Linked DNA regions of Drosophila melanogaster. The protein of the gene in region 2 interacts with the protein of the main gene of each other region in a pairwise test. Each region holds a gene or a part of one and is shown on either strand. Other genes may lie near its edges.

Region 1 (6,077 bases), 6.8 Mb from region 2:
AGAATTCACATTTTTAAAAACAGTTTGTTTCGGAATTCAATTACGAGCTCAACGATGTATGACATTCCATATTTGGACCATAATTTTTAAAGTTTCGCTAAAATAAATAAATAAATCAATAAATTATTGATTTTCAAAACCAGCTGCCTGATGAAATTCAACGACAAAAAATTAGAATTTCCAATTTTGAATAAGGAATTACACATTTTTGAGGAAAATTTTTAGATTTTTCGTACCAGGCGATCATAACCAGTAGCAGAAAACAAACTGCCAGTCTGTACAAAATGCACATTTTTATGGTAAATATATTGATTTTTTGCATCAGGCGATTACAATAAATAGCAGGTGTATACTGAAAACGAAATTCCAAAAGATCGTTGGTCTCATTCTGAAATTTCTGTTCGCCTGGTAGCGAAGCCCACAGCCCAGAGTTGCAGAAAAGGTAAATCGCTTTCAATATTTGCTTTTTAAAACATTACTATTTATTTCTTTTACTATGACGCTTGAATTTATCAGTTTTAGTTTTGTTTTGCGTTCGTTTTTTATCTTTGTTTTTGTTTTCTTTCAACTATTTTACAGGTGATAGACTATATTGCGCTTAGTGAAACTACATGCACTTCTATATATAATTTATTTATATATATAAATATCTTTATGTATATTCTTGTCAACATAATTTCTTCGGCTTTCGACTTACATCTTATTAAAAGACTTGTACAAATGCAGAATAAGAATAAGAATAAGATTCGGAATCGAAATCAGAGCGTAAAAGTGCGCAGACGAGAACATGAAGAAATAGTCACATATTGATGGACAAGTACAGAAAGAGCGAGATTTCATTTGAGATTCTGGACATTCGATAGATTCTGGTGATGCTGATCCGAGCCGAATCGATATGCACCATGGAAATTCCAGGTGGAATGCGGCAGATAGGATTTACAGATCGATCAACAACATGGCCGAGAATGTAGTGATGTGAGCAACTAACTAAATGCCCGCATAGAGAGGCAGCTTGGCGGTGTCCACCTTCTCCTCCACCTTGAACGAGGGGAATAGGCCGCCCTGGTTGGTGCGGGTATTCTTGCCCTTGGAATTGCCATCCCAATGGTTACCAGCCACCGAGACGAGGTCACCAACACGCAGCTGTAGATCCTCGTGCGTGCGCGGCTTGTGGGCGATAACGACGCGGCGATTGTGCGCATTCTGGCCACCGTAGTAGTATATGTCGTCCAGCGACTTGAACCGATGCGCTGCATCCGGATACATCGTCTGCATTATCTCGTAGGCCACGCGACACACCTGCGACGAGAAGGTGCACACCAGATGATCGGACATGGAAAGCAGGTGGATATCCAGAATGATCCCGTTCAGGGCGGTGTCCGTGTATCGTGTGGATACGGACGCCATGCGCGCCACCTCCGGATCACCAATGATCTGGTACTGCGGGTACTTTCGGCGCGCCTCCTCAATAACCTGGGCATCATCCGATGCGAGGAAAATCCGGCGAGCCACAGTGCTGCCGTTTACCTCCAGCGTGCGGTAGTAGTCCTCGACATAGGTCATATACTCCTCCACACTGTGGCAGGCCGCTTCTGTGCCCACTTTGTCCGTGCGACGGACATGAACGCTGTAAGAAAAAACCCGAATATTTAATTTTTTTCAAAAGAACAAATCGACTCTTGGTTCACTTACCCAACAATGGGACGCTCCCAACCCAAATTGCGCATGCCAGAGGTAAGAAAATCCCGCGTCGTTGGTTGCGGTCGGAGCAAATACTTAAGGAACTGACCCACCCACCAAACGATGGGGTCTCCATGCAGACGCTTAAGTCTCGGCGCCAGATCCTCGGGAACGGCGAGCGGCAGGTACGGCGGTCTCGGCATCAGCGAGTCAATGATGGGCAACACCAGCACCTGGGTGTTCGGCTTGCCCGGCCAATTGTATGTGTTGGCGGTGCCCGCATCATGGCAGCTGTTGGACACCGGTTGGAACACCTCCTCCCAGCCGCCCTTGTGATACCGCCATCCGCGGGATTTTAAGATGAGCGTCCGCTCGGTGGCGTAGGCCACTATAAAGCAATACACCACATGGTGCAGTTGGCAGCCGTAGCCACAGCCCTGGGGATTTAGGAATAACGAATTAGATTAATGGCTGACAAGTAAGGTGGCATTATAGTAACCGAAAGATTAGCTCAAGAAATAGGAATAATAAGAATATATAACGCACCTTGTTGAGCTTACAGACCAGCTTGCGAGCATTCTGGCAATCACTGGGATTCTGTAGATGGTGCAGGCGCCGCTGTACCAAATCGCTCAAATCCCGTGCCTCCTTGTGTCGCCAGGCCTCGTAGCCATCGGACTGACGCATCCGCTCCATATCGCTCAGCAGGGAGCGCTTGTGCTCGGCGCCTTGGAGCAGCACCTGGTTAATGGACTCCTCCAAATCGGCACTCGCATGGCCGGCGGCCACTGCCTTACGCACTTTGCCCAGTTCACTGCTGAAGAAATTCCAGATCTCACCGATGTTCGTCTGGATGCGTCTGCGCGTGAACTCGTACTCTAGGCTGGGCTCGAATTCGCCATGATCCGGAACACCGGCCTCCAGATCATTGGGCGCTCCCTCGGCCACATTATTCCAACCGCGCAGATCAGCGGGGGCGGACTCGAACATGGATTCTGGTTCCGGGCCGGCGACCTCGGGCGCCAGCTTTGGATTTAGCGCATCGTTCTCCAGCCTTTGCACCAGTTTCATTGCGCTCTGCTTGTCCAGTTGGTCACTGGAAAATAAAAAAAAAAAAGAGGGAGATGGGGGTTCAGGTTAGCAAAGCAGCTTATCGCATGTAATTCCGCCTACGTGCCATGAATAATTAGCCTGGCTGCTGACAAAACATCATTATGGTGATCGCAAAAGTGTAACTGCTATGGTACAATGTTTCAGGAAGCTATATTTAATACAAATACTATTGAAGCTTCTTTATTTCTACATAAACCGAGAACTGGTTATTGATTGATGCTAATCTCTTTGATATCACAGCTATGGCGGTATTTAAAATCGCAATTAACGTGTATAATCATTTGTTTACTTTATAGCAAGACCAAAAGGGGTTCCAGGCGAGTGCTAACAATGATATATTTTGTGCTATTGTGCTGCCCCCGGCTGTATCCCCACAGCTCCAGCCACCTACCTCATCAACTCGTCGATGAGCTGTTTAAGCTCCTCATTGCGCTGTCTCGTGTGCTCCAGCATCTGGAGCGCCTGTGATATGCGACGGGCGTTCAGCTCACTCTCCCCGGCCGCCTGCTGGCCCTGAGTATTGGTCAGCTTGACCACGAACACGTAGACCAACCCGATCCAGGCCAGTACGAATATGATGAGGGCGCGTGCCCAGGAGTTGGCCGAAGCCCCGAATAGCTGACGCACCAGCAGCATGCCGGCGTTTCCACTGCTGCTCCTGCTCCTCCTCCTCCTCTGGATTCTGCCCTCCGCTCGCCGGGACCACAATCGATCTTCCAGGGGATCAAGGAACGGGGCTCCGAACGGGGGCGGACTCGGAAATGCTCTCTACGTGTACTTCAATGCGGAGCTGTTTCGATTCCGGTGCATAGTCTCAATTAACTCCGATCCGGCCAGCAACCAAGGCGATCCAATGACATGGTCGGCGGGGCTAGGATTCCTCTTCGATTTATAGATATTTTATAAAGGATATATGGACGTATGGGATGGTGGCCAGCTGGAATGCAAGTTTCACGGAGCTCGATCAATGCCAGAATGAAATTGACTGATGGGCCGGTGGTCTATATCGCCGATCGAGTTGGCCAGGTAGTCGTGGCAAGTCAAATTAAGTGCAAAAGTATTCTATATATTTCCGTCCTGTTCTGTGTTTTCTTTTGATTAGCACTAGAGCTGTGTTGTTAGCACACCATGCTATCGATGCATAGACATCGATACATCTGCCCACTTGAAGAGCGTTGCCATATTCGGACGAGCCATTACATTATTTTCGATAAGTCGATGACTAGTTCCAACGGCTCTCGATGTAACGCCTATTCAAACACCAAATGCAAAAACCCCATTGAAGTGATAAAACAATTGAAGATGATTGTGGGATGTTTTCAGTTTTATGCCGTGTTTTCTTAATATTTCACATTTTATTCGCACTTATGCTACTAATAATAAAAATGATTATAATTTTCAGATGTGTTGTTACTTTCAAAGTTCCGACCGATCTGCGAGTGGTATGGGTCGTGGATATCGGGGAAACCACCCGGTACCGGCAACCCAAACCACGCGGAGATCGGACGACCTGCGTCGGGTGCAATTAAGATGCGGGCCGTATGCTTCCGTATCTTCTTTTTTCTCTTTTGGAAATCAAATGAAACGTGATTATCGTATAAATTATAAAAAATTCAGTATATGTAAAGTTAAAAAAAAGTTTTACACATAATATAAATTATATTATTATAATTACGACCACAAAAATTTCTTAGTGTTGAAATGAGTTTTGTTTTGTTTTGTTTCTTCCGAGTGTTTGTGTGTTTATGTGTGTGGGGAGGGGGTGTATTCTGTGTGCGGCGTGTTTTGAGTGAGAGAGATAGAGAGAGAGCGCGAGTTGCTGCGGGTCGACGGTCGAAGGGGGTGGTGGTGGAGTTGGTGGTGGGGGGCTTGGTTTATACGACAAGTTTTGATTTATTATTAAATTTAAATACCTATGTATATAAATTACGTTTCTGTTTATTATAATTATTGTTGTTTCCATCTTAATCATTTTGTTTTCTTTCGCTTTTTATTTTTCATATTTTTTTTTTGTTTTTTGTATGTAGTGGGCAACTGCGGCATTTGTAAATTTCTTTATATTTAAATGTTCCTTTTGACTGTGTAAAAATATCGATTTCCATCTGATCTTGTTTTGTAGTTACTATTCATGTATGCATTTGCTTTTCGTTTTAGTTAAATTACGTTAACGCTGCATTCTGAACTCTCTGTTGCTGCTGATTCTGCTGCTTGTTCTTCGGATTCTTGATCGGATTCTTCTGATTCTTCATCTTGGCGCGCTTTCTATGCTATTGAAATGTTGTTTGTGGTGCTGCTTACTGCCTTCTGGATCGGGATCCTATATTCCGCTCTGATCTGATCGGTTATGTTCATGTTATGTCGGGTTGTGTGTGTCTGTGTTGTGTGTATGAGAGTGGAGTGTGTTGGGTGTTCGCATCTCGTTATATGTTGTATATATATATATATATATGTGTATATATATATATATATAATATATTATATGTATGTATAGTTAGTTGCTTAATAGTAGAATTTCTTGAATGTTGTTGTGGTAAAGTGTAGGTAATGTTGCTCTATGTCTCTATGTCGACTCAACTGCACTACATACATATGTCTTTCCACCGGATACGCGGCGAACCGAAACGTGCCGAGCCGAACCGATCCCCGTTTCTGACCCGCATCCGCATCCGTATCCGTATTTCGTTTCCTCACCTCCGCCTCATTCGCTGCGCAGTTTCTTTAGATCCGGTGACTTCTCCCCCACGCCCACACCCACTCCGCCGGCGTTCTTCAGCTCCATATCGCAGTGCAGGGCAGTACGCTTCTGTCCAATGGCTGGTGCCGAGTCTGCACCCGCTGCTACCGGTGAAACCGCATCCACCGCCTTGTTCGCCGCCAGCTGCTGCAGTTTACTGTCCCTCACAATGCCGTTGCTGCTATTGCTCTCGTCAGCCTCTAGCTCCGCCTCATTATCCTCCTCCTCGTCCAGCTCATCTTCCTCCTCGTCCTCCGCCTCATCCTCATCCTCGTCGCCCAGGACGCCGTTCCCGTTACCATTTCCATTGGCTGGTGCTGCAGTCGCTTTGCTGGCTGGCTGTGGTGCTGCTGTAACCGCTTCCTCTTCTGCCAAAGGAGCAGGCTGACCGTTGTTGGTGATCGAATTGTTAGTTTTGTGGGGCTGGCTCGGCGACTGCTTTTGATTCTGATTCTGGCTCGAGTGCTGTGTGGGAGTCAGGATGGGCAGGCTGTTGGTCTTGGGCGGCGCCTCCTGATTGCTTTCAGAGTCCGAGGCGAGCGGTGTTCCA
Region 2 (5,058 bases):
TCGTTGTTGTTATTGCAATCACAAAAAAAAAATGCACGCCGCAAATGGAATTTTAAGGGAGTGTGCTTGTGTGCGTGCAAGCGACGCCTGCCGCTTCCTCTTCTTCGACTTGCAAAACAACAACGAGCGAAATTGAGCGTGAAAACAGAGGAAACGCGAGGATAGATATTGTATAAAAACATGCGTATTTAACAGCGGCTGACCTTGTTTTCATTTGCGCCTAACAAGCTACGGAAAGTGAAAGACTTTGATTGGAATTCTCATAAGAATGTGAAACAGGTTTCGCTCTCATAACGGTATCTGCATACACATACACACACACACACACAGATGAGCCGTAATAGCCAGGCAAAAACAAGAAAAAGCCGGAAAAAGAAAGTAAAAAGGCAGAAAATGTTTAGTTTATATTTCTAGAGCGAGAAAGAGAGAGAGAGAGATATGGGGACGTAGAGAGCGACTGTTAAGTAATACATTTGCAGAGAAAGCGCGCGCAAAAGACACAAGAAAAAAAAACACATTTGCATGTATTGTGTGCTACTTATTGATGGCGTTATTTTCTGGTGTTTTTCGCACAATTGCCGCAGTTTCTGAACGCTGCTTTTGACATTGGAAGAGTTCAAGCGGCTTTTTTTTTACGAATTCGATTTAAACTCATTTTCGATCTGCGAAGGTCAACAGCAAAACAAAATGAAGCCGACTGCACGCACACCAAGGCAATATTTACACAGATACATTCACCACAGTTGTATGTTGCTTGTGTTGCTCCTTAAATATGTTACATATTTAACATATATGATATGTTGTGACAATCAAATAGTACTTGCAATCTTTACCTTGGTTGAGCCGCTCGATTTTACAACTGTTATTTATCACACTTTATTTTCAGTTTAAAATGCACTTTTTCGCTTCCTTTTCACTTTTGATTGCTACTGACATCAACTTGACGTTCTGCTAGTGACTGTATGTTAGCTCCTAACAGCTTCGGCAATTTATCGATTAGTGCTGTTAACGCTACAGCTACCTAACAGAATTAAAGAAATATATTAAATTTAACAAAAATACTGAATACAGCTAGCTGGTCATACTCCTGTTTTACATTTTATTTAATTTACGAATACGTTTAATTTAAATTTTGTTGATATATAATTTAATAAATTTTTTGGTCTCAAAACGTCTTAGCTAACCCCACACAAAACCACTTCGAGATTATTCTGAGGTTCTACGAAAAAAAACTTGTTATATATACAGAGATATATGTATTTTAAAACCAAATAAAAATGAACCTGTATATAATAATACCATAAGATAGCTACTTACTCTACGAGCTGTGAGCCTTGAGTGCCGGTGCTCATATAACTTTCTTAAGCTTGCTTGATATAATTTTCATATTGCATATCTAAAAAAAAATAAAAAAATAATTATAAAATTTTTGTAAAAAGTTCAGTAAAAACAGTTTAATTCACTTATTACCTGGTATTTCCTTCTCTGCAAATATAAACGAATTTTAGATATTTTCAAATTTGTTTGAGTTGGTGTGTTCTGTTTATTATGAAAACATGGATACATTTTTAACAAGTGCTCAAAATATTATTTTATTTACTAAATATATCAATATATAAAATAAATTGTATTTTCTATTAGAAGACTAGTAATAAAAATGACAAAGTTATAATAATACCATTGGAAATAATTACCAAATTGCAATTTTTGAAATTGCAAAGTGTGACTGCACGAATACTTGTTGAATATCAACTGCATGAATTAAATTTCGCTTTCCGAATCAACGAAACATCAAATTTGGTCAAACATGAGCAAAACATGTCATATAATATTAACAATATATTCTTTAAGAAATTTAACAATTTTAAATAAATTATGAGTGACCCTGTGTTGTGTAAAATATGTGGTATTTATTCAGTATTTTTGGGTTTTTTTTTCTGTTTTTCGGCAGCACTGCGCGGCGGTCACGCCTTTGTATTGTATTTATATTCATTCGTTAAGCGACGGTCGTCCAAAAAGGCAGAAAATGTGGAAATTCATTGATGAACAGTGGTGAAAAGTGCGTGCAGTCATTCGCTTCAATTTGTCGTGGCCGATTCCTTTTCGCAACCAATTTTTCTTATTTTTTTTCTTGTCAGTAACAAGTTGTCGGTCAATAAAAGTGTCAGTTTATTTTCTGCATAATAACGGTTACTAAAGCCTAAATTTTTTGTTTGTGACTTCTTTTTTTTTAAACAAATGCGCCGACGCGCCAGAAGTTTATATTCTGTTTTTATGTTTTCCGCTTAAAACGAAACGTGACTAGTTTGTTTTAAATTGGTGTGCAACGAAAACAAGAAGAAGCGGATGAAGAGGGTGGAGAGGAGAGGAAGCAGAAGAAAAAGAGCAACAGTCAAGTGAATTAGTTTTTTTTTCGTCCATGCCGTCGCTGCCAACGTCGACGCCGTTGCGCCGCCGCATTTAGTCATTGCATCAGTGTGTCCGAGTGTGTGTGTGGCAGAGAGAGCGAGTGGGAGAGCAAGGGTGGAGTAAAAGTAAATGCGTGCAATTAGCATTTAATGCAATCACCATTAACCGCCTACTATTGTAATTTATATTACCCTAGTACCTGTAATTTACACATACACCTACACACACACCTGCTCAGCTAGTGGTAGTGCAAATATGAAGTGCAAAAAGCGGCGGCAACAACAATTGTCTGTTAATTGCTGGATATTTCGTAATGCAGCAACAATAACAACGGTAGCAAACTGTAATGCCACAGTGAAGACTCGCTAATCGAAACTTTGTCGGGCATATTAACCAAATTCGTTATATGTTTGCATTGAATTTACATTTCATATATTAACTTCTAAATCTCGTTAGATTTACATGCTCGCGTGTTCAATAGCAGGGAGGGCCCACTGTACTTGTAGTGAAGCGCCGTTACAGCCACAAATGCGTGTGAGTGTGATTATGTATGCATGTGTGTCTGCATCAAATCACACACTTGCAGCGCTCATGCACACGCACTTGTACTTGTGCGTGGCTCACATTTCCATAGCCAGCCGCTTCCCCCTCCACGATCAGTGTTGCTCTTCACCTGCAGCTTTCGCTTCTGCTTCTTCTTCTCCCGCACGCATGTGCCGTTACAAATTCGCTTGGACATAAATCATTTTTCGTGCATTAGCCGGCGATTGTTAATGGAAATCGTATTAGAAAACAACAATTACAATGGGCCCACATCTGCCGCTCTCGCTCTCGATCGCGCTCATCATTGCTCTCCCGTTTCCCGTTACAGAGAGTGCAATACAAGTGCAATATTAATTAAGTAATAGAGGAAACGTAATATGCGTGTGCAATACAAACAAATGACCATGTAACGGCCAACAGAAATGTATATGCAATACAAACGTACATACATGTGTAAAACAATAAGCGCAAAACACCGCCCATCCCCGCTTGAAAAGTAAAACCAGCAATCTGCGAAACCTTCGACCATCATTGGGTTTTACTGTACTTGAAAATGGACTGTGCCACGCGAAAACAACAACAATTACGGGCACATCATCAGCAGCAACAAATACAAATACAAACACATGGACGAAAGCGGCAGCAATTACAAAAACAACGCCACAACCACCACCACTACTACCAAAATTCACAACAACAACAAAAACATTTCGTGTGGCTTGTTGTTGGCATTTTGACAATTTTTTTGGCTCAGGTGAGTGAGAAAAAAAAATGAAGGAAAAGAAACAACAACAAAACATAGTGATAAAGATAAAGCGACAGGTAAACCCGCAAAGTTAGTTACCTCTATGATTTGGGGGAAATTCGTTGGGAAAATTCTGAGGACTCCTAATGGATGGCGCAGGGTTGTCAAAAATATTCATATTTTAACTAATTACAATGCAGATTTCATAGATTGGCCAGCAACACAGACAATTTGCTAATTATTTTGAAATGTTTTTTTCTGTTTTTATTGATTCTTTTTTTTTCGAAAATTACAAGCCAACTATTTTCCACATTTAGTGGCAGAAAATGTCTTAACTGGGTTTTTGATTCGCTGAGTGCGTTTTAGGAACTCGTTTGGCCGGTTCTAGTTGTGATTTTGGCTGGGTGTTATGTTATTTTAATATGAACTCGCTCAACCGCTCACTAAAATTGAACTAAAATTACGATAAATCCAGATTTCATATAAAATCGAATAGTGAGATACAAATATTTAATGTGTTCAATATTTCAAACCAGGTTTACTTGTTATCTGATCAAACTTCGGTAGTCAAACTATTGATTGCATAGCTCGAAATCTTTAAAGGCAATTTAGAAGCGCAAATTAGAAGTTTAGGCCCAAGTCAATTTGAAATGACACACACAGGTGATGAATCCGGTGATTAAATTTGATTTTGTTGGGTGATTTGTGGGCTTATTCCCGTGATTATTCCTTGTTTTATTGCCTGAGTTTTTTTTTTTACCTCGTTCACAAAACTCGTTTCATTTCGTTTCGTTTTGCATTGTTGTCGCATTGTTTCAGCGCAAACGAAAGACAATAAAAACAAAATCCCAACCATCGCAACGCAACAAGTAAAAAGTTAAAAAAAAAAAAAAAATGATGAAAACACTAAAAAGCGAACGCAAGTTAAAATCAAGGTTGGTTCTGATGACGCTGTCCATCGCAACTTCCTCACTCTGAAAAAATTTCAATACGCTTATCGAGCGATTCCCCGAGATAGCCCAGCATAGTCGTAAACTGTTTCTAAGCTTGAAATAATAAAAAATAAAAAAAACTATAGAAATCAAAGCCTTAATAAATAGATGGCAAAACTTGTATCTTTGCTGCTGCAGTTTGTGTATTCTTTGTATCTCAGATGATCACAACAACAATAAAGTTGTCCCTGATTTCGCAGTTTCTTTGGCCACAATAACTTGAATGCACTGCCGTCTTAGTTTTGTTTTTTTTTTTTCTTTCCACATGCTTCATATTCATAACTCACGTGTTTCTGGCACTGTGACTTTGGCTTTCATTTTATCTGGGCATTGCCGCGATTGCGGATCGCAGGTCATTACGTGCCGGCT

What was found.
Region 1: the proteins of Ptp4E (region 2) and FucT6 interact in a two-hybrid assay, tested with the Drosophila melanogaster proteins (one large-scale study listed by BioGRID).

Annotation. Positions count from the first base shown.
Region 1 is NC_004354.4:11,706,019-11,712,095, forward strand, and holds FucT6 (alpha1,6-fucosyltransferase), read right to left. Parts: upstream 3,934-6,077; 5' UTR 3,430-3,933; coding exon 3,185-3,429; intron 2,777-3,184; coding exon 2,227-2,776; intron 2,118-2,226; coding exon 1,693-2,117; intron 1,628-1,692; coding exon 988-1,627; 3' UTR 557-987; downstream 1-556. Other genes in the region: amun, read right to left, coding at 5,492-6,077. UniProt on the Drosophila melanogaster protein: Catalyzes the addition of fucose in alpha 1-6 linkage to the first GlcNAc residue, next to the peptide chains in N-glycans. The addition is prevented if the GlcNAc residue is already fucosylated.
Region 2 is NC_004354.4:4,937,142-4,942,199, forward strand, and holds the start of Ptp4E (protein tyrosine phosphatase 4E), read left to right. Parts: upstream 1-1,986; 5' UTR 1,987-2,059; exon of another isoform or gene 2,060-2,163; intron 2,164-2,295; exon of another isoform or gene 2,296-2,391; intron 2,392-2,439; exon of another isoform or gene 2,440-2,534; intron 2,535-3,280; 5' UTR 3,281-3,505; coding exon 3,506-3,706; intron 3,707-5,058.